Linked DNA regions of Lytechinus pictus. The protein of the gene in region 3 purifies or fractionates together with the protein of the main gene of each other region. This does not show direct contact. Links are inferred from orthologs where the notes say so. Each region holds a gene or a part of one and is shown on either strand. Other genes may lie near its edges. The genes, in order: anaphase-promoting complex subunit 4-like, E3 ubiquitin-protein ligase RNF8-like and mitotic spindle assembly checkpoint protein MAD2A-like.

What was found.
Region 1: the proteins of mitotic spindle assembly checkpoint protein MAD2A-like (region 3) and anaphase-promoting complex subunit 4-like purify together in Homo sapiens (affinity purification with western blotting; 14 studies listed by BioGRID and IntAct, with this or other methods). This does not show direct contact. The link is inferred for Lytechinus pictus from reciprocal best matches to the Homo sapiens genes MAD2L1 and ANAPC4.
Region 2: the proteins of mitotic spindle assembly checkpoint protein MAD2A-like (region 3) and E3 ubiquitin-protein ligase RNF8-like purify together in Homo sapiens (co-immunoprecipitation; 3 studies listed by BioGRID and IntAct, with this or other methods). This does not show direct contact. The link is inferred for Lytechinus pictus from reciprocal best matches to the Homo sapiens genes MAD2L1 and RNF8.

What each region holds. Positions count from the first base shown.
Region 1 is NC_087256.1:13,044,997-13,053,001, forward strand, and holds the start of anaphase-promoting complex subunit 4-like, read right to left. Parts: upstream 3,001-8,005; 5' UTR 2,958-3,000; intron 2,833-2,957; exon of another isoform or gene 2,598-2,832; intron 1,699-2,597; 5' UTR 1,666-1,698; coding exon 1,474-1,665; intron 1-1,473. Other genes in the region: small integral membrane protein 19-like, read left to right, coding at 5,089-5,207, 6,529-6,659. UniProt on the Homo sapiens protein: Component of the anaphase promoting complex/cyclosome (APC/C), a cell cycle-regulated E3 ubiquitin ligase that controls progression through mitosis and the G1 phase of the cell cycle.
Region 2 is NC_087251.1:18,828,184-18,835,493, reverse strand, and holds the start of E3 ubiquitin-protein ligase RNF8-like, read right to left. Parts: upstream 3,157-7,310; 5' UTR 1,587-3,156; coding exon 1,452-1,586; intron 1,145-1,451; coding exon 293-1,144; intron 1-292. UniProt on the Homo sapiens protein: E3 ubiquitin-protein ligase that plays a key role in DNA damage signaling via 2 distinct roles: by mediating the 'Lys-63'-linked ubiquitination of histones H2A and H2AX and promoting the recruitment of DNA repair proteins at double-strand breaks (DSBs) sites, and by catalyzing 'Lys-48'-linked ubiquitination to remove target proteins from DNA damage sites.
Region 3 is NC_087262.1:14,784,525-14,792,408, reverse strand, and holds the start of mitotic spindle assembly checkpoint protein MAD2A-like, read left to right. Parts: upstream 1-4,740; 5' UTR 4,741-5,102; intron 5,103-5,339; 5' UTR 5,340-5,602; coding exon 5,603-5,678; intron 5,679-7,610; coding exon 7,611-7,757; intron 7,758-7,884. UniProt on the Homo sapiens protein: Component of the spindle-assembly checkpoint that prevents the onset of anaphase until all chromosomes are properly aligned at the metaphase plate.

The DNA.
Region 1 (8,005 bases), on a different chromosome or scaffold from region 3:
AGCAATAATAAATAGGTTTATTGCAAATGACTTATCTTCAAAAGCCCTAACATTCAAAATACAACAAAAAATTGACTGAACGATAGTGATTAAGATTGAAGTGAGCAGCAAAATGGGAGATCCAAACTTCTCACAGCATATCCAGTGATTTTGAGGTGCACTATAATCAACAACTTGCAAACATTTCTTCCAAAACTCAATCTCATGAACTGGTTGTATGGGCCTTGCTGCAGAATACAATGCAATCAAAACTCAAATCCAGAAATCAAACACAAATTTAATTTCAATGAATTACAAGTATCCATTTTAGACTTGTATTTCATTTTTTTCCCTACAAAATGGGCAGAGTCTAACTGGAAATTAAACAAAATGGTAAATGAGCTACAAAGCAATTAGACCAAACGGTTAGATAGCCATTTGTAGATGGATTAAGATAAGACCATGTAAGATGGAACAAAACAGGAAGAAAAAGAAGAGTGTAGACCAGGGTTGTGCTCAATTACAAGGTAATTGATCAATTACGTAATCAATTACATTTTTTGAGTAATTGTAATTGTAATTGACAAAAGCAATTGGTAATTGTAATTGAAAAAATGTAATTTAATTGAAAAGTAATTGTAATTGAACATTTCTTCAATTACGTAATTGTAATTGAAGAAAGTAATTGAGCTCAACCCTGGTGTAGACCAACTGGTAATTTACTGTTAAAGGACAAGTCCACCCCAACAAAAAGTTGATTTGAATAAAAATAGAAAAATCCAACAAGCATATCACTGAAAATTTCATCAAAATCAAATGTAAGATAAGACAGTTATGACATTTTAAAGTTTTGCTTAATTTCACAAAACAGTTAAATGCACATCCTGGTCGGTGTGCAAATGAGGAGATTGATGACATCCACTCACTATTTCTTTTGTATTTCATTATATGAAATATTAAATATTCTCATTTTCTCTTCATTGCCAAGTGAAACACCGGTTAATTCCTCCCTGAACATGTGGAATTAACATTGTTTAATACTACATGGTTCAGTCAAGTTGGTCCTCATGGTCAAATCTATAAAAAATGAAATATTGTGTAATTCAGACAATAAAAAACAAAAGAAATAGTGAGTGATGGACATCATCGACTGACTCATTTGCATGTCACTCGAGTTGTGTATATCACTGTTTTGTGAAAAATAAGCGAAACTTTAAAATGCCATAACTTTATTTTACATCCGATTTTGATGAAATTTTTTGTGATATGCTAGTATGATTCTGAATCATAATGCAATTTTTACACTGATTTGTAATACATGTATTTTAACTTTGTATTATATTTGTTTTTTATGTAAAGGTTTTACTGAGAGAATAAAACAATTTGAATTGAACAATTTGAATTGAATTGAGTTTGATTTTTCTCTATTTATTCAAATCAACATTTTTCTGGGGTGGACTTGACCTAAATATACTACACTTTGTAGGAACATACCTCTCCATTTTCATTGGCTAGGGCAATGAGATCCATCTTGGGGGACCACTGCATAAGGGTAACCTCTACAGAGAGGTTTCTCTCTTCAAGCTGACGGAATGACTGCTGCATTGTGGGTGATCCTGTGGCTTCTTCAGATCTATAAGGTATGCCTTGGTCAAGATGAGGACCTGTCTGTTTCAACAAAACCATTAAGATGACAGCCCATCAAAGCCAATGGCAAAGCTATAGTATAGAGTAAATATGAGAATCATAATTACAATTACAGAATTCTTTATAGATTTTTGATGCCCAACGAATACAGACCAATGAACCTTGTCATTCAGTAATGTTGTTGTTCTATTACAGATTCTTTGTTGGAAATGGAATATGGATGTGCAGCAGAAAAAAAAAACAATAATTCAAAATTTCAATTTGCTCTGGTTAAACTTAAAGTTGCCTCATACAGTAGAGGCGCACGGCTAATATTGGAGACTGTCTCCAATGTGGGAGATTATCTCCAATATCAGACTCAGAGACTTTTGTAAAGAATTTGGGTATCCGATTTCAGAGACAGTCTCCAGTTTTGGAGACCAATTTCCTTTATTTACATTTGCTGCAAAAGGATTACCTTGGCGGCAAATAAAAATGTGATAAGCAGATTCCTCGTGCAAAATTACCCCTTTTCACCGTCTACTAGTACTACTTTAAAAATTCACCGTCTACTTTTGTTTTGATATTTTTGATAAGGATTTTTGTTGTCAATCACACACAAAACAAACGGGCTTCTGACCTCAGTGAGACAAAATTTTGGGTGGAAAAAACATGCTTTTGTTGGTGTTGTTTCTTTTGTCCTTTTGCAAAGCAAGTCTCCAATTTGGGAGATTGTCTCCCCTATTGGAGAGAGTCTCCTATATTGGCCGTGCGCCTCTACTGTCATAGTATACCAGTACTACGGGACTACTAGTACTACTAGTACTACTACTACTAAGTTAGTAGTAACGGTACTCATGGTACTACTACTAGACTAGACTCTAGTCTAGACTAGAGTTCGAGTGAATTTTGTTTCTGGGAGTATTTCTTTCTTCGTGAAACTAGACTTAAATTTTCTAGAACATATATGATGGGAGAGTGGAAGTACATACCAAAATATGGCTCTATGCATAATTCAGTAAAAGGCCTACAAAAATGTCAAAAGACAAAAGCTTTGCCGCGCCGGTGTCAAGACTCAAGTCTTAGCACGAGCTCGGCCCGCGCCCGAAGTTACGGCGGCGGCGGAGCTACCGGTAGCAGTAGCAGCCCAGATCAGCCTCACTCGGATCGGTCAGTGGCACTGGCAGTGCCCCTGGCCCTGCCTGGCTGAAAATCATGGCATCGACTACCAGTACGGTATTGTATTTGTAGGGTAAAGTATGATGCGTTAATATGAAAGGTAGACTCTCTATTTATATTTTCTATTCTATTTCATAAAATTATTAATCAGAACTTTAGAACAAATGACTTACAACGTAAAAAACAAGGCTCCGCGCGGGATCGGATTGGAAGATCAATATGGGACGCCATAAACTAAGAATTAAAAATTAAAATTCATTTTACTCCAACAATAATATATTTCATTTTTGGATAAATATTTCATTCTGAGAAATATATATTTTTCTCTTGTATAAAACCATATTTTTTCCTTTTACGAAAACAATGCATTTATCTTTTCACAAACATAATATTCCACTTTAAGAAAATGTATTTTTCACTTTTCACAAAAAATGTTTCACAAAAAAAGTTCCAAGAAAGTTAAATATTTTACTAAAAACACCCATAGCAATTATTTTGTTAAAAACTATATGCTTGCGAAAAGTGATATGTTTTTTTAATAAAAAATTAAATATATTTTCATAGCAAATGAAGTGATTCGTGGAGAGTCACTGTGGGAATGAAATATATTTTTCTTAAACAGCGCCTTGAGCACATAATCAATGTGGATTTGGCGCTTTAGAAATACTCTATATTATTATTATTATTATACGTTTTTTCAGGGGGTGGGCCAAAATTTCGAATAAACTATGCTTGTGAAATAATTATGATTTGTGAAAGCAAAAAGCTTTTAACAATGTTCCTTAGTAAAAGTGCATGTTTTTATTAAAAGTTAAACCTTTTTTCTTTAAGCCAGTCGAAAGCTTTAAAATAGCCAGTAATACTTGAGTGTCATCTAACATATTACAAAAGTGTAAAGGGTTCATTAATTATTAGATGTTTTGCGGACGTTAGAATTAAAATCTAACAATTCAGCAGGTTTAAAAAAAATCTAAACACGTGACACACTTTGACGGTCAATGATGCATACCCGGTACATGTCATATTTTATTTCTATATTTGCGCTGTTTACTATGTCGTACAGTAGTTGTTTAAACAAATTCTTAAACAAAAATGTTTAATTTGTCATATTTAATTCTCCATATGGCGTAGTCAGGGGCTATATAGATCGTTCGGCCACGGCACCTCGCCGTTCGGATTTGAATTATTTGGCCTCACTAAAAAAAGCGCCCTAGTACCCCTAGTATCTGGGTGATGTTTTTATTATTAAAAGCAGCACTTGCACTTACTCTACAAATTATCAGTCATATTAGAAAGCTATTGAATACTAAATCTTTCAGCCAATTCCATGATTGAAAAGATATAACAACTCCCCATGAAAAAATAACAGATATCTTATTTCGATCGGGCACCAGTATCGAAATAACATTTTGATATATAATAAAACACATTTCTATTTCATATCCTTCACGTCGTCATAATTTAGGGTATACAGCCCTAGTATACACATTCATCATGAATTGGAGCGATAACTTTGTGGGATTTAGCTAAACTAAATGTAGACTTAAACATATTTGTAAAGAATTAAATGTTTTTTAAAAGAGGAATATTTATATTACAGTGAAATGATTTTATAAAGTCAAACTGAATGTCATATATTCCACGCTTGTTTTGCCATTCTGTCTCTTTTACGTCTATATAGAAAGTGATTACAAAATATAATAATATAGATCATAACTCGATCAAGCCCTATCTCAAGAAAATAAAATTGCTCATGCACTTGAGTCGCTAGTCTTTAGAGATATAACAACCTTCCAGCCACAATTTTTTACACATTAACCAAATGTGCGGCTGCCAATTTTGCTCAGTCGACATGTTCGATATACAAATCAGAATTTATATAAAGGCAAGACACTGCTCCTCTTCATAAAAAAGTACATTTGCCAAAACACATCCGATGCGTGGTTTATTTTTAACCATCAACATACACGTTTTATATTAGGTTCATTGAGTGGGACAAAATTACATCAGAAATACATATATAATTTATTGTTTTTTTAAGATTGAAGACAAAATTTATAAGTCACTAGTAATTGTGACTTAGGTTTGCTTTAATCAATACCTCTTTAAAATATGAAAAATCATAACTGATTTAACATGATTAGGAAGGGCCTTTAAATGGCGTTTCCATTTTGGCACTTTCTCTCCAAGTCTGCATGCTATGCACATGACACTAAATAATTGGTTCCCTTATGGCCTGCCATAGACGGTTTTATTTATTGTTATTTTTATGCGATTGATTGACTGATCCTAAAAATAATCCAAATGGCGCATGAAAACCATGGTCTTCCTCCAGAGGAACACATCGATCACTGGAATGAAGCAACTAACATTTACATGGTTGTTATCGTCGTTTCGCTTTGGTTCTTTTTCTATGTCCGAAAGTAAGTTTCGACTTTAGCTTTCTTTAGTTCAGTTAGACTAATTTGAGTCGAGTAACGTTCTGCCCGGTTGATACTCATCGTAATTCGTATATAAGCGCGTGCGATTTCTAGTGCACACAAATGAATAGAGCCAATCATATTTATGTGTTACTGTTAGGCTCCGTGCATCAAAAGTCTATTAAAGTAAACGTAAAATTAAGACAATCGAAAAGTAGAACAAGCTAACTCTACAAGTTTATGTGGGACTTAGCTAATTGCCTATTCTGGCAATTGGAATTTAATTTGGAATCATTCCAGGGTCTGGCAGGGCCAGGGAAAGCCATAATAATAATTAACAGAGACAGAGAGGTCAGAGCCAGAGGTCGTGTGGCCAGCAGGGGGGGGGGGGGGGGGGGGGCAAGAGCCAAAAATATCTTGGCCATAAATGAACAGGCAATGGCGTAATGAGGCGAACATTTTGAGGGGTGGCTGGGATTAGATATGGCGTATCGGGCAAAAATTATATTTTTGAAATGAAAGTTGCGAGTGAGGGAGCAAAAATTTCAACATTTTCATTACAAAAATCAAATTTTGTGAAAGATTTTGACAATATTCAGAAAATTATGTCATTCATCCTTCTCTTTCCTTTTTAATTTTATTTCATGCTCTTTACACCACTGTGAACAGGGTTTTATTCATGATTTTTATTCATTAAAGGAATAAAGGTCAAGTCCTCTCCAGAAAATGTAGATTTGAATCAATAGAGAAAAATCGAACTAGAATAACACCGAAAATGTCATCAAAATTGGATGTAAAATAAGAAAGCTATGACATTTTAAAGTTTCACTTATTTTTCACAAAACAGTGATACACACAACTCAGTGACATGCAAATGAGACAGTCGATGATGTCCCTCACTATTTCTTTTGTTTTTGTATTGTTTGAATTATATCATTTTTTACAGATTTGACAATAAGGACCAACTTGACTGAACCATGTAGTATTAAACAATGCTAATTCCACATGTTTGGGGAGGAATTAATCATTGTTTCACTTGACGATGAGGAGAAAATTAGAATATGTCATATTTCATATAATAAAATACGAAAGAAATAGTGAGTGGATGACATCAGTCTCCTCATTTGCATACTGACCAGGATGTGCATATAACTTGTGAAATTAAGCGAAACTTTCAAATGTCATAACTTTCTATTTTACATCCGATTTTGATGAAATTTCAGCGTTATGCTTGTTGGATTTTTCTGTTTTTATTCAAATCAACTTTTTGTTGGAGTGGACTTGGCCTTTAACATTTTTTCCAATATGTGTTTATGTTTTTCAGGAACAAAGGAAAGATTGTTAGAATGCTGACTATGAAGAAGACTAGAGATCAGACAGATCTTATTAACAGCAGGTATAAAGAAGAGCTACAGCAAGTCAGATTAAGACAACAACTAGAATCATACTACATCTGTAAGTTCCTTTTTGTCACTATGCTGTGCAAGTATTAGATGTCAATATTTTTATGTCAAGGCCACTGTTTAAAAGGGTATATTCTTATATTTCAGCACAAATAAAAAAAAAAGGTTTGAAAGGCACAAAAATTTCGAAGTGCGGGGGGGGGGGGGGGGGGGGGGCACAGAGGGTGGCTTTGGATTAGATAAAGCCCTGGCAATGTTTAAAAACAGCCATACTGTCAGGTAATCCAGAGACTTCATTATTTTCTACACATTCACTGGTGAATCTGGTTCAAGGAAAGAGCATGAAATGAGGAAGATTTATTTTTTCTTTTCTTTTCATGAAAAATTAATTTGTTAAATTTCAAGGGGCCATCGCATTTTTATCATTATGGTAATTTTGCTATCCATTGGTAACTACCATGGTAACATCGCTCATCAGCCAATCAAAATCAAGGATTTCAGGGAAGTTGGATAGCAAAGTTACCGTAATAGTAACTTTATAACGTAATAGGCCCTGGTGTCGGAAGAGGTTCATCTGGTTGCTGGTTAGTAGAGAAAAACTTTACCTGTACTTCATTAAAAACACAGGTTAATTACATGTACCGTACCTCGAGCGAAGTTGGTACAGGCTCCACTCCACTTCACTACCGCTACACTACGCTCCACCTACCCGAACTTCGAGACCGTGATTTCGATCTGATATTCCGAGTGACAAAGGTGGGATTTCATGGGGGGAAAATATAAAATTCATGCAACATCACGATCTTTAAAAACAATTAAAACTAATATTCTTACTTTACACAAAATTTCATTTCTTTTCCATGCTTCTATCAGTCTCAAAATTGGTGATTTAGAGCCAACATGAAGTTCCTCACACATAAATAATTCGCTGCCGATTTCAAAACATCGCATGAGCTCGGACCGGACCCGGTACCTCGCACATATCCCACCTTTGTCACTCGGAATATCAGATCGAGTTCACGGTCTCGAAGTTCGGGTAGGTGGAGCATAGTGTAGCGGTAATGAACTGGAGTGGAGCCTGCACGAACTTCGCTCGAGGTACATGTACCGTTACCTCATAAGACTTTTACCAAATGTTGTGCTGTCTAAGGACTGTCAATGTGCCAGTGCCACAAAGTCAACATCTCTGTCCAATCTGTTGACATCTGAAGAAGCCTACAGCAACTTGTACATAGTAGGCGAATGTTAAGGGTACTCTACCTAAGTTTCATGATTGTGTAATGAAGAATTTTATCTCTATCTTATAAATATTTCCTCTCTACATGCATGTGTAACACATGTGTTGTTACTGCTGCTACCATTGTCATTCTGTTGTTACCTTTTTCATTATTTTATTAT
Region 2 (7,310 bases), on a different chromosome or scaffold from region 3:
TTTCTAAGTTATGCTGTCATTTCAAAAACTTAACCTCGGGTTAAGATTTGGTGTTGACGCCGCCGCCGCCGCCGTCGGAAAAGCGGCGCCTATAGTCTCACTCTGCTATGCAGGTGAGACAAAAAAACTGAGAGGGTCGGGTGCAACCACTGAGTGAATCCAGATGGAATGACCCATTTGGCCCGTGACAGAATTCTTTGTGTAAAAACTGATTTTGGTGGAATGAATCTGGACCTTTCAATAATCATAATTACTCTGAATTAGTCACTAATGTGAATTTAAATCAATTTACCTTTTCTTTCTCATGTTTGAGTTCTTCTCTCTGTTGTTTGAGCTGTTCCATTAGAGCTGTCTCTTTCTCCTTGACCTGCTTTTCCAACACCTCCTCCATCTCACATTTCATCTTTGCCAATGCTTCTTCCTTCTCCTCTAAGAGTCTCTTTTGCATTTCTACTGCTTCTTCTTGAAGTCTTTTTTGCTCTACAAGCTCTTTGTCCTTTTGCCTCAGTTCCTCTTCCTTCTCCTCCACCCTGGTCTTGTATTCAACCTCAAGCTTGGCATTCTTCTCCTCCACTTCCTCCTGCTTCTTCACAGTCGATCGAAGTCTTTCAAGTACACTCTCTCCTTTGTTCTCTCCTTTCTTCTCTGCTAAGAGTTCTGTTATTGCTTTCAATTCTTCAGCTGTCATGTTGGCCCCTACCTCCTCCATGAGCTGCCTAAATCCAGAGTTCTTAAGATTACCATCAAGAGAAAGTCTAGTCCTCTTTACATCAGATGAGGTGGAAGGTTCATTGAATGCACTACTTCTAACATTCTGTTCATCTCTTTCTTTTCGTTTTCTATCACCCGATGATGAACAGCCAAGACTACCCGACTGAGAATCTGACTTTACACTATTTTCGCTGTCCATGGGTTGAGAAGATTTTGCCGCCAACTTGAGCTTGATTTTTTCGGCCCTCCTCTTCCAAGCTCTCAGGAGTTTGTCCACTTCCTCTGCGGAATGGTCTATGCAGCACACTGTGAAGATAAACTCATTCACTTGTCCTTTGTTTGCCTGACCCAACTCTAATTTATCTCCAATTCTCAGGTTTGCCGGCTCCATTGGTTTTACCCGATTGTCATTAATCTGAACACCATTCAGGCTCTGAAAACATGAAATAGATAATCAATTTTCAATAGCCCAATTGATATACATGTACAATTTTAAATTTTAGTACGGGATCAGAACAGGTTTCTTGTTGTATTCTCATAATTTTTTCCAGATTAAAAAAATCAAGTATAATTCACCCCTATATGAAATACTAGGATTTATTTCCTCCATCAACAGACAAGACAAAGGATAACTTTCTAAAAACACGATTGAAAATTCAGTTCAAAGTTCAGTAACAAAGAATATGACCCAAAATACAAACATTCAGTATAATAATGTGAATTTCAATGACATAACATACCTTGTTATCAATCACTGTCCATCCTCCACCTTCCACTTGTTTGAATGTACAGTGCTTTCTTGAGAGGAATAGATTGTTCTGTGACGCTAGCAACTGAATGCTCACATCCATCCCTCTTCCAACAGTTACCTTCATATCAAATTTAAAGAAGAAATTTGGACGAAAATGATTATTGCTTGCCTGGGAAGCAAATATAAGGATCAAAGTAGTCACAACTTGTTAAATATTTATTCCATATATAAGGGCACCATACGTTTATTCGGTGGCATTCAGGCCATCACAAAAAAAAAGAGTTTATATGGAGCCTTGTCTAATATTACCTCACTTTTGGTGTGTATTGTTTTACATCTTGTTGCTAATTGCTACACAACCATTTAATGAGTTAAAATTGCTCTTTGTTTTTATCTCGATGTTCAATAGATTTTGTCATTCCTTGACCAGTGGCTATGCCAAAAACAAAGATATGAAATTCAAACTCATTGTTCAGTATACCCCATTGTTGTGTGTCCGGATAGGTAATTTGTACGGACAAGACGGTAATTTCAGGAACTTTGAGATTAACATTTATTTAAGAATTGAAAGTAATATCAGACAAAATTACAAAGCACAAATATTCTAAATTATTTTAGTATTGAATGCACCAATGTTGCGGAAATCCAAAACAAAATATGATTTCATCTGCTAGACTGTCTGGACAACAGATCACCCATCCTTACCCCTGTTCCCCCCATAACTAAAACGGGACAATCGCACATAGAACTTTCTTTATTCATTGTAAATTCCATCGTGTCCTGGGGGTGGGGCATGTCAGCGCATCTAACCTTAACCTAATATTGAGCGTGAATTCATTTCAAATCCGATAAAATTCTAAGTTGATAAGGTTCCTTATATTCTTGAAAGTAAATGTGCCAAAAATCTCATAACAATTTGAGAGAAATATATGATCTTCTTTGAAAAACCCCACAGCCAGTCATTTTGATTGAACTAAACAATGGCGCACACCCATTCACTTTACACACAATTCAGGGATTTGTATGAGAAAGACTGCATTTTGAGGCTGTTACATGAAATGCCTGAAATTCAATATTTTTCCACCACTTTGACTTGGATTTTTCAATATCTGTCTAGATCTATAATATATTGCAGGTGTAAAGTTTGTGGTTGTTGCAGGTCTTCTTTTATTAAAATTGCGCAGATATGCGCATGCGCAGACAAGGAGCACTGTGTAGATTTGAGCACCTACCTGTACAACAAACTTACAACTAACATAATGTTTGTGGGTTGTTGTTTTTTATTTAAATTTAATGTTCTGCTAGCTTATGGGCCTAAAACAATTATGGCTAGCACTCGGCTAGCAGTATGCTACATATGCCATGGTATGTTTAATACTATAGTTAGCACTAGAATGACAGCTTCAGTCTCTGTTTCATCAGTTATTCTGCTACTCCAGATAGATAGATTTTAGCTGTCTACCTATTAAGGCTAAGCATATGGTAGGGGGTCTTAAAACTACGCACCAATTGTCGCACAAGCAATTTCAATGGCAAAATGCGCAGTTGCGCAATCTGTGTGTGAAACTGTGGCTGCAGTGTGACAGGCGATTCCTATTTAAGTTTTCTACAGATGAAGAACAAAGGCTGCAATAAATCATTAAATGTACAGAAAAACCTGAAACTGTTTTGAATTTTTGAGTTACATTCACTTCTACTTCATATTTTCCCATAATAATATGTACATACCCGGTATTTTAGAAATTGAGGCACAGCCTCAGGGGCGGATCCAGCTCCTGCCAATAGGGGGGCCAGAAATTTTTTTTCACCCATATTCTCCCCGATCAGCCGTTCAAAGATGATTTTTTTGTTTGTTTCTTTGAAGGGATTTTCCCAGTGGCGTAATGAGCCAAACATCTTTAGGGGGCTCGATATGGCGTATCGCATAAAATTGATAAGAAGTTGCGAGCGAGCAAAAATTTCGACATTTTTATTACAAAAATCATAGTTTGTGATAGATTTTGACATAACATTTGTAAAATAATAGGCCTATATTTCATCCTTATGCCTTTCTTTTTCTATTTTTTTTTTCTTGGTCTTGAAAAATTAGGGGGGGGGGGGCAAAACTCTGATGTCCTAACAGTCATTTCTTAGCTTTATTTTTATAAAACAACATAAAAAAGTGTAATAATGTCATAAGCCCTATTTAAATAGTGCGAGCACGAAGTGCGAGCTGAAAATTATTGGAATTTAATGTATTTTGTCCTTAAAATTGAATATTCTGGGCAATGTTTGTGAACCTGAACAAGATGCGTATGTAACCAGATAATTATTGCGAGCGCGAAGCGCGAGAATACATTTTTAATATGGATTCTGGCTTGATCAGAAAGGGACCTGTTAAGGACATTTTGCAGTAAGCCATTAAGACGATACATATTTTAACTATTAAATAATGCGAGCGCGAAGCGCGAGCAGAATTTTTTTTGACCTTTTGACCTAAAAAATTGACATTCCAAGCATTTTTTGTAATCATCAACGGTATAGGTATAAAACAAAACAATTGATGCCGGAAAAAAAATGAGATTTCAGACCTAAAAATTGGAAACTCTATTCATGTTTTGTAAATCATGAAAAAGGATGGGTAATTTGGTATCTTCCTACATTAATAATGCAAACGCAATCAAGAGCAGAAAATTTTTGATTTTCTGATCTGAAACCAGATATTTTAGCACGTTCTGAATAAAGATCAAGCTGAATACATCATCTTTTATCATGAAAATCAAAAATGCGAGCGCAAAGCGCGTGCGGAAAAAATTGATATTCCGATATGAAAAGGGTGAATTTAAGCACTGTGTAGGGAAATTGTGAAGTAGATGTGGACAGCACTTAATAAATGATGCGAGTACGAAGCGCGAGCTGATATTTTTATTATTCTGACCTAGGACCTGGACCTAGGCCTAAGGACATGTTCTCATCATATGAAAATGATGACTATCTTCCTATTCCTCTTCCTAAGCGCGATATGAAACTTGTCGATATTCCTTTCTGAAAAAGGGACAATTTAGTTATAAGGAATTTATGAAAATGTTATCATCATGTTTATTAATATAATAAGACTATAAAGAGTGAGTAAAAGCTGTTAACATTGAGGCCTGAAAACTGGATATTTTAAACACTTTTGTAATCATGAATATGATTTATGAGTTGATATATTTTCAACGATAATGCGAGCGCAAATCGTGAGACTAAATTTTTGATAAACTGTCATAAAAGGGGGATTTTAAGTAGTTTGTTATAGAATTAATATATAAAGAATCTTATGGAATAAACAAAGACAATATGTTGCCCTACTTGGCAAATCAAATAATCATAGGATTTATGAGTTGATATATTTTCAACGATAATGCGAGCGCAAATCGTGAGACGAAATTTTTGATAAACTGTCATAAAAGGGGGATTTTAAGTAGTTTGTTATAGAATTAATATATAAAGAATCTTATGGAATAAACAAAGACAATATGTTGCCCTACTTGGCAAATCAAATAATCATAGGATTTATGAGTTAATATATTTTCAACGATAATGCGAGCGCAAATCGTGAGACGAAATTTTTGATAAACTGTCATAAAAGGGGGATTTTAAGTAGTTTGTTATAGAATTAATATATAAAGAATCTTATGGAATAAACAAAGACAATATGTTGTCCTACTTGGCAAATCAAATAATGCAAGCGCACAGCGCAAAGAACTGCATATGATATTCACACGATAAAACGGACATTTTATAGAACACTTTAAAAAATCAATTTGTAAATCAAACAAAATAATGAAAGCTTGATGTCGAAGCTGAAATATGCTATGTATATTGACTTCAAAACTTGATATTTTAAGCTACATATCAGCCTATTGAGCAAGATATGTATCTCATTGAACAGGCTATACAAGCGCGAAGCGCGAGCAAACATCTAATAGTGACATGAAAATATATGCTAAAATCATTTTCCAAGACTTCCCCTGACCTATTTTATTCACTCGTCTCCCTCCTCTTTTCCTAAGTTTTTCCTATTTTCTTTCCCCTTCTTTTTTTCTTTCTTTCCCCCTTTTTTCATTTTTTTTTTGCTCTGCCACTGGAGGGGGGGGGGGGCCCTGCCCCCCCCCCCTGGATCTGCCTATGCAGCCTCACAAGATACATGTATAGGGGAGAGTGGGGTAAATAAGGCTGCCTGTGAGTTTTTAGCTCACTGCTCAAGAATGGTAGCTCAAATGGATTACTGTTCATAAAATATTTGAGTTCCTTAGGCTTAGCACAGATTTCGAGTATAGAGAACGTCTCACAGCCCAGTGCACATGGCCAGGAGGAGCACAAACCCAGCAGCACCTCAAAATCAAAATTTTGAAAGTAGCATTGCCACCTTAGAGAGGCGAGTACTGTACCTACCCAGTAATGTGTATTAACTTTTATCTTAGTTTACTTGTGTAAGGTATTATTGGGCATGCCAGAACTGTAGTAAATTTCACCACTTTCCCTTTGTTTTTCAGACTGGATGCCTATGAACTCATCATGTCTGATGGTGCAAATGAGGCCACCCAGATTAATACATAATCAAAACTCTGTGATTACATCTGTTAAAACTTTAAAATGCAGTGTAGACATCACCACACTTGATTATATATAATGTAGGTGTCCACTACCAATAAAACACTTAGATACACAGTAATATAGTTCTGTGACAGTAGAACACACAATCCAAGAATCTTTTTTCCATAATATTGGATAGGATTAATAAATCAATCCTAAAATGGGGGTGTTTTTGTTAATAACTTAATGTTAATAATAATTCCCTATAACTTCTGAAAAAATAGCAAAATAGATTGTGTTTATGTGCCCAAAAATTACACAGAAGAAATGGTTCCTAACTGTACAATCATTAGTGTTTCTAGTAAATGTTAAAGGACAAGTCCACCCCAACAAATAGTTGATTGACTGAATTAAAGAAACAAATCGTGCAAAAATTTCAGGGAAAGGGGGAGTGCGCTCTCGGTGACACGAAGCTTGCATTTTGACATAATTTTGTAAGCGCATACAGCTAAATAAAAGTTAGGGTAAGAAAGAGACGTGGGGATCGGGGTGAATGTGACAATTAAGAATTGAATTGAATTGAATAACTTTCTTGTACATAAAGGAAATTCTTCTTTCACTAGCTGGTTTACACACATGTAGATACAACGTATATACACAGAACACAGGATGGAGTCAGACAGCATGGATAAAAAAATTATGACAGGAGACAGAGGCCTCGATCGATTGTGGAGCAGGCAGGGGACGATCGCCCCTAAAATATGGGAGCAAGCATAATTCATACATGCCCCCAATAATTTTGAGGACTTGAAAAAATAAATATGAAATGTAAATCTTGAAAAGCACTTTAAGAAAAATTAAACCTGACATAGAAATATCAAACATACAACAACAAAAAAAATTCTCTATTAAAATATCGGATGCGTATAGCGATCAGCAAAAAAAAAAATCACTTTTGCCCGCCCCCCCCCCATCCGAAGCATATAGATTGACTAGCGGGATAGATGAATTAAGGATAACCTATAGAAGCATTGAGAGTTAAAAAGGTGTAATCATCGGAACTATATAACCATTGAAAAGCAGTAAAAAAATTGTGAACATTATATTAGAGTTCCCCAATCGCTAATTCCATTCTTTTTAATTTCTGTTTGTGTTTTTTTTGACGTTTTAAATAATGTTGTAACCCGCACCTGTTGCGGTACGGGTTAACCTGCCGGTATGCCCCCGATCGCGGGTTGCGGGCCAGGCCGAGTTCATTCTCAAACCTGCAAACCGTCATACGAAAAAAAGG
Region 3 (7,884 bases):
GGAAGCATCAAAATTTAGGGGCGGAGCGGAAAAACTGTTTTCACCTACATTTTCCCAGTCAGCTGCTAAAAGCTGATTTTCTTCATATTTTTGTTTATGGGGTAGTCCACACTAAAGTCTGAAGTTTTAGTTTTCCTTACAAACAAGATGAGATATCTAATAAGGCAGACGCATTACAGGATTTGCAACCCGTGGGCCCCACCTGAGTTTGGCGCCCTTGTGTACTTTTAGAAAAATGGCGGCCCCCATGAACATGAATGATGACCAGGATGGGTGTCTATACAAACATTTTATGCAAGCACGAAGCGTGAGCTGAAAAAAATGATATTCTGACCTAAAATTTAGACATTCTAAGCACTTTTGGTCCTCAAGCAAGACGGGTATTTACTTAAACATTTTATGCGAACGCGTAGCGCGAGCAGAATTTTTTTGACATCCCGACCCAAAACCTGATATTCTAAAGCACTTTTTGTAACCATGAACATGCAAGATGGGTATACCCATATCTATCTAAACAATTGATGTAAGCGCGAAGCGCGAGCTGAAATATTTTGGTAATCTGACCTAAAATCTAGACATTCTTAGCTCTTTTGGTAATCATGAACAGAATGGCTATCGAACTAAACATTGTATGCGAGCGTGAAGCGCGAGGTGAAAATTTTGGATATTCCGACCCAAACCTGAGGATTCTAAAGCACTTTTTGTGACCATGAACGCGATGGGTATCTTTCTAAACAATTGATGCGAGCGCGAAGCGCGAGCAAAAAAAAAGATATCCGGACCCCAAAGCTCAGATTCTATGCACTTTTTGAAACGATGAACAGGATTTTTGTTTTGTAATAATATTTATTAATCATTCAGTTCAAAGTAATGGTACATTGTAAAATATTACAAATCAATATTAACAAAACACTGTTCACAAAAGACAAATAATTATCCATAATACAAATAATCGTTCATGTCATGGTATTAACATATATGATATACAGTGGATAAATTCAGTAACAAAAATCAACAATTAATAACCAATATAAATTCACAAAATCATACAATAGCTATGCAGAAAATTGATTGCTCGACATTGATTAAACTGAATGAAATTTATAATATAAAAAAAACCGGAAAGGGTTCGAGAGCTCACTCCCCACACACGTCCATAAAATAACGAAATCGCTCTCACACCCAACCCCCCCCCACACACACACACAGACAAGACACAAAACAATTAGACAATACAAACAAAAACAATACAAAAAATAAGAAAAGCAGGAAGAAGGAAAGAAAGAAAGAAAGAGAGAGAGAGAGAGAGAGAAAAAGAAAAAAAAAGAGAAAGAAAGAAAGGAGATAAGTGACATGCAAAGTAAAGAAAAGCGGACAGTTTATAGTGACAGACAGACCAGCCAACCCCGCACGTGTGCAAACCGGATAAAGCCATCCCTTCCTCATCCTACTTAATTAATTGCTTTTTAGGTGTTCCCACTTTTTATAGTGCTGTGTTAATGTTTTTCGCTCTATAGCAATTTTCTTTTCTTCTTCTTTACTTTTAAAAAGCTTTACTTTTATCTCTTCAGCAGTTGGTAGTTTATGATTCCCCCTTCCGTGATATATTAAAAATTTGATAAGTAAAATGATATGATTTAATAATTGTCTATTTTCTGTCGTCTCTTCTAATCCAACATGGATATCCTTCCACTGTAAGCTTTTAAGAATCGGAAATTTTAATATATTGCTACACAATTTCCATAATACTTTAACCATTTCACATTCGTAAAAAAATATGTCTATAAGTTTCTTCATCTTTACCGCAAAAAGAACATTCATTACTCGATACAAATCGAAACCTATATAAATGGTGGTTAACAAAGATAATATTGTATAATAATTTATATTGAAACTCTCTTAACTTATTATCTAATGTGCAAAATCTTGGACGATAAAATACTTTTTCAATTTCTTTTTCAGACATGTTATATGACGATTCGAGATTGTAAAAACTGACAGGAGTGTCGGCAATCTTGTTTATACATGATCTATACAGCTGTTTTGAACAAACTGACTCAAACTGGAAAACATTTTTAAAGAAAATAAATTCAATCTTCAAACCATCAACTAAGGTATTATTTTTTAATTCGACTTTCCATTCTACAGGAACATGTGCAAATATTTCATTAATTGTTACTATTTCGTCGTCATTTACACCCATAGATCTAAAATAAGTATTTGATTTAAGTTCACCGTGTTCATCTACAATATGGTGCAATTTGTATGTGTTTTTTAAGAAAATATTTTCATGAAAATACGCTTTTCCTTCATTTTTAATATACCTGTTATTGAAAAAAATTTCATTTCTTTTATTACTTATGTCCTTTTTGATGAACACAGTTATATCAAACCAAATACTTAACATTTCCTGGTAGTACTTTGGAATTTTTATATTGATCATATCAGGTGTAAAATTACAGTAAAAAATTAAATTACCACCTAATGGTCTTAGCAGAAATTTGAAATATTTTTTCCATTTCACTTTCTGGTCACCGTTTACCAGTCTTTTGACCCACATCACTCTCTGTACCATTACAAAAAGTTTAAAATTGAGCATTTTTATTCCCCCTTGTTTATATCCCAGATACAATGTGTTTCTTTTAATTTTATCTTTTCCTCGCCATAAAAAGTCGAAACAAATTTCTTCAATTTCTTTAAAAGCCCATTCCGGCATAGGCGTTAAAGAACTTACATAAATCAATTTAGAAAATGCATATGTTTTTAGCAGATGAATCTTTCCAAACAAAGTTAGATCTCTTTGTTTCCACCAATTTAATAACTTTTTAATTTTGCTTAATATTTCTTTATAATTCATTTCTTCAGCAACGTCAGGATTTAATGAAAAGACAATACCTAGAATTTTAACCATATCAACTTGTTTCCCAAAAGGGAAAGGGTGAGTAAGGCTTACAGAGGGTCCTAGAGGCAAAATAAACGTTTTATTTTTGTTCATCCTAAGTCCAGATGTCTTCCTAAAATTTTCAAGAATTAATTCTAGTCTATATACTGAATCTAAATCTTCTACGAATATAGTCATATCATCAGCATAAAGTATTTGTTTAACTTCCGTTTCACCAAATCGAATACCCTTTACTAAATTATCATTACGAATACAATGCGTTAAACATTCTATACAAAGTATAAAAAGGTAAGGGGAGAGGGGATCCCCTTGTCTTAGCCCCCTCTCGATTGCAAAATAACCGGTCGATTTCCCCCCATTAAAGACACAACTCAGCGAGTTGGTATAAAGAACATTAACCCAGTTACTAAAAATCGGCCCAAAACCAAACGATTTAAGCACCCTTTGAAGGAAGGAATGTGAAATTGAGTCAAACGCCTTTTCAAAATCGATTGCAACTAAGTATCCTGGTTTATTAAAATTTGATGTATGAAAAATCATATCGTTTATTATTCTTACAGCATCGCCAATATTCCTATTAGTTAAGTAACCTACTTGGTCGCCTGACACAATATTATCCAAAATGGTCTTAATTCTTTTAGAAAGTATTTTGGTTAGGATTTTATAATCTACATTAAGCAAGGAAATTGGTCTATAATTGCTAATAAACATCGGATCTTTACCTTCCTTATGTATAATTGTAATTATTGCTTGTTTTTGTGAAGGTGACAATTCTTTATATTTCATAGCATCATTAAAAGCATTTAAGACTAGGTCACCTATTACCTGCCAAAATGTAATATAAAACTCGACATTTAAACCGTCATTTCCTGGTGATTTATTTAATTGCATTTCTTTTAAAATTTCAATACAATCCCCCTGGTTTATTTTCACTTCGCAATGATTTCTTTGGTTTTCGCTTAGTTTTGGTAAGTTACTAGGAAAAAAACAGTCACCAGGTTCTACCTCTCCTTTAGAATATAAGGAAGAATAAAATTCTTTTATTTCTTTTAAAATACTAGTTTCGTCATTAATTACATTTCCATTAACTTTAAGTTCTTTAATAAAACCTTTCCGACCATTATAATCTACCAGTTGTTTAAAATATGCAGTTTCTCGTTCTCCACTTTCAAACCATGGGGCTCGAGATCTGATTTTAATACCTTCATTTAAGTACGCATATATTGTTTTTAGCTCACTTCTTTTTCTTGCCAAAAGATCAATCAAAATATAATTTGTGTTCGATGATGTTTGCTGTAATTGAACTTTCTCTTCCAATTTCATAATTTCCTTTTCTAACTTATCAACCTTCTCTTTTCTTTCTTTAGCTTTTTTCTTAGAATATTTTCTTGTGAAATTTCGAATTTCCATTTTAACATAATCCCACAGTATTCTATTATCCATAATCTCTTCAGACAGCTGAAGTTTTAGACGAGTTATTTCCTCTTTCAGGATGGTCACGATGCGATCATCGATGCGATCGATGAGCGAGATGCTGACTTGAAACGGTAACACTTGAATTACTGCATTATTGCATTATGAAGGGTAATAAATAAATCCCGTCCGCCCGCGGAAGCATGGGTGTATACCGCCAAGATGTTCTAATTATAATTTACCGTTAGCATGGCCCTGGGAAGCGGGGGCGCTGGGATGAAGCACCCCAAAATTTTCTTTGGGAGTGCTGCTGGGGCAGCAACCCAGGAATTATGTTAGGTGTTAAAACTAATGGAGAAAGGTTACGATAATTACCTACACTCATGTAGTGAAAACCTTTTTTTTAAACATATTTTTTCTTTTTTGCTTGTCAAATTACGTACATCAGCACCCCCAGTAAAAAAAATCGTTCTATAGCACAGGGCCCTGAATATTAGAGATTAGTATGCTGTGCAAACCCTTCACTCAAGTTAAGGGTCTGAATGTGCAGCTAACTGATGCATTGTGCACTGAAGGCCCTCTCACTCGGGAATTGAAACAGCAAGTTAGTCTTTGCGTGGAAAACTTGTGGATGTGTTGAAGGTCTAGTCCACCCCAACAAAATGCTGAAAATTTTATCAAAATCGGATGTCAAATAAGAAAGTTATGACATTTCAAAGTTTCGCTTATTTTTAAAAAAATAGTTATATGAACGAGCCAGTTACATCCAAATTAGAGAGTCGATGATGTCACTCACTCACTATTTCTTTTGTTTTTTATTGTTTGAATTATACAATATTTCAATTTTTACGAATTTGACGATTAGGACCTCCTTGTCTGAACCACAAAATGTTAGAATAATGGAATTCCACGTATTCAGGGAGGAATGAAACTTCATTTCACATGACAATGACGAGAAAATCAAAATATTTAATAATTCATATAATAAAATACAAAAGAAATAGTGAGTGAGTGATGTCATCAGTTCCCTCATTTGCATACCGACCGGGATGTGCATATAACTATTTTGTGATATTAAGCGAAATGTTAACACGTCATAACTTTCTCATTTTCCATCCGATTTTGATAAATTTTCAATGTTTTGCTTGTTGGATTTTTCTCTTTTTATTCGAATCAAGGCAAGGTCTGACGTGACATGCCTGCAGAGTCTAGACTAGTACGACCCTGGAGGCTGGATATATAGACCAATCACATCACGTTGTTTACAAGCTCGGAGAAGATCGAAAAATGGCGGGGACAGCTACTAAAACTAAAAACACAATTACCTTGAAAGGATCAAGTGAAATTGTTGCAGAATTCTTCTGTGAGTATCTTTCCAACTCAAGCGATATTATTCCTTAGATGACGGTAAATTCCCAGTTGAAGCGATGAATTTAAAGAAGTTTAGTTCAGTGGAGCGCTCGAGGGAGAGTTACGCGCATGGAGTTAGTTCAGTCCCATTCGTTGTGAATTGTGCCATGTTCAAAATCTTATGATGCTGATTGCATAAATTTAATTTATTGTCGACCTGTCAATTTCCTTGATATTGTAATTGAGTTTTTGCTACAGATGTAACTTTTAGAGTACTAGACTGTAATGTGGCATTCTTAATTTGACCCCCCCTCGAATTTTCCGCTATGCCGCAGCGCAAATTTTTTTGAACGCGTCGCCGTCGCTCGCTGACTTTACTTTCAAATTCAAGTCTTGCTCATCTTTTGAGACCGATTTTGCCTCGCCCAAGTACCGTATGGGCACTAGTATTCAACCCGGCATAATTCAAAGATTTTGACAAATTCCCCCAAATATTTAGAAATAGGTCTGATTAGGGAATTCATCTTAATTTCAGAATCATACCTTTGAGTTGACTATTTCCAGGGTAATCTGTTGTCGGTATTTTCTTTAAAGTTATCAATCTGTCGACTGTATGCGTGAAGGATCGAATTATGCGGCGATGACCTTTTGCACTGAATTGCACTAGTATTCAACCTAGTGATGATAGATAGCGAATCTCAAAATGGTTTAGATTGCTAAACTAGATCTATGTAAGTCTCTGGCGCTGGCTTTGATTAATTACCTGTTTATGTTTGGTCTCGTCTCAAATGATCTAGTCCATTGTCGGATGGGACAAGGTCAAGGGCAGATTGAGAGACAGGGCCATCTTTCATCGCTAGGTTGAATACTAGTGCCAAAAACCATCGTTGTATAATTCGATTGCCCGCACACATAGTTGATGGGTTGAAGGAAAAAATAACGGAAAAAGAATAACCAGTATGCAGTATTTGCTCTTTAGTCTTGGAAATAAGATGGGTCTGAAATTCAGGTTAATTCTATATTTCTATATATTTGAGGAAACTCTCCAAACGGGTTCAATACTAGTGCCCTTACGGTACCCGTTTCCGAAATTACGCGATATTTTGTAAGTGCATGGCGGTCCAAAAATTGCTCAAAAACGTGATTAAGTCAATGCAAATTGTGTTTTTCAACCAAAAATCATCATCATAAATGATTATTTTTACTTTTGTTGGTGTCTAACGTTAGACCTAGATCAGTAGATGGATTTATTTTATGATATTTATGAATGCAAAAGGGTCCCAGACAGAGTTCATAAAAAAAAACAATAAAAAACAAAGGTTTGAAAAAACAAATAAATACATAAGAATAAAAAAAAACGGCCTTATCGTGAAATTTGTCACCTCTCTTGTCGTGTGTGTCGGTGTGTGTGCGATCGTTGTGTACAAAGTCAATGGGAGTGGAAAGATGTCACCACCGCTGACGAAATAAAAGGCAATGAATGGACTGGTGACATAAACCACGATAATGCCAAAAAAACAATAAGAAATTAAGATAGATCTACATAGACTATAGGAAATTAATTATTTTTCAGCAATTTTTTTGTAGATTTTTGTTAGAAATGTAAAAATCTATATGTTCACCAAAAATTTGCATTCTACTAGCTATATAAATTGAGTTATTAAAGGCAAAAACATACACAAAAACCAAAATTAGGGCAAATTTCATACGCTTATTTGCTTAATTAATAAAAAATATAAGCAATTAATTTTTTGAAAATTTTACTTTATAATCTTGCAGTTTACATCCGGCTCTATGTGCGTGCAAATTTTCACAGCAATCACGCAATCAACAGCCGAGATCTGAGTGGGGGGGGGGGGTGAAATTCCCCCCCCCCCCCCCAGTATATGTTGGTCTGAAATGGCCCAGTTAAAATGGGTTTAGTAATTGTGTTTTCTTTCTCTAGATTATGGCATCAATAACTTGTTGTACCAGCGTGGCATCTATCCAGCAGAGACATTTGCAAGATGCGACATGTATAAGTTACCCCTTCTGACGACCACAGATGAACACCTCAAAGCTTACCTGTCAACGGTCATGGATCAACTCAAAGGTTTGTCTCTCCCCTTTCATGTCTTAAAGGTCAAGTCCACCTCATAAAAATATTGATTTAAATCAACAGAGAAAAATCAGACAAGCATAATGCTGAAAATTTCATCAAAATCGGATGTAAAATCAGA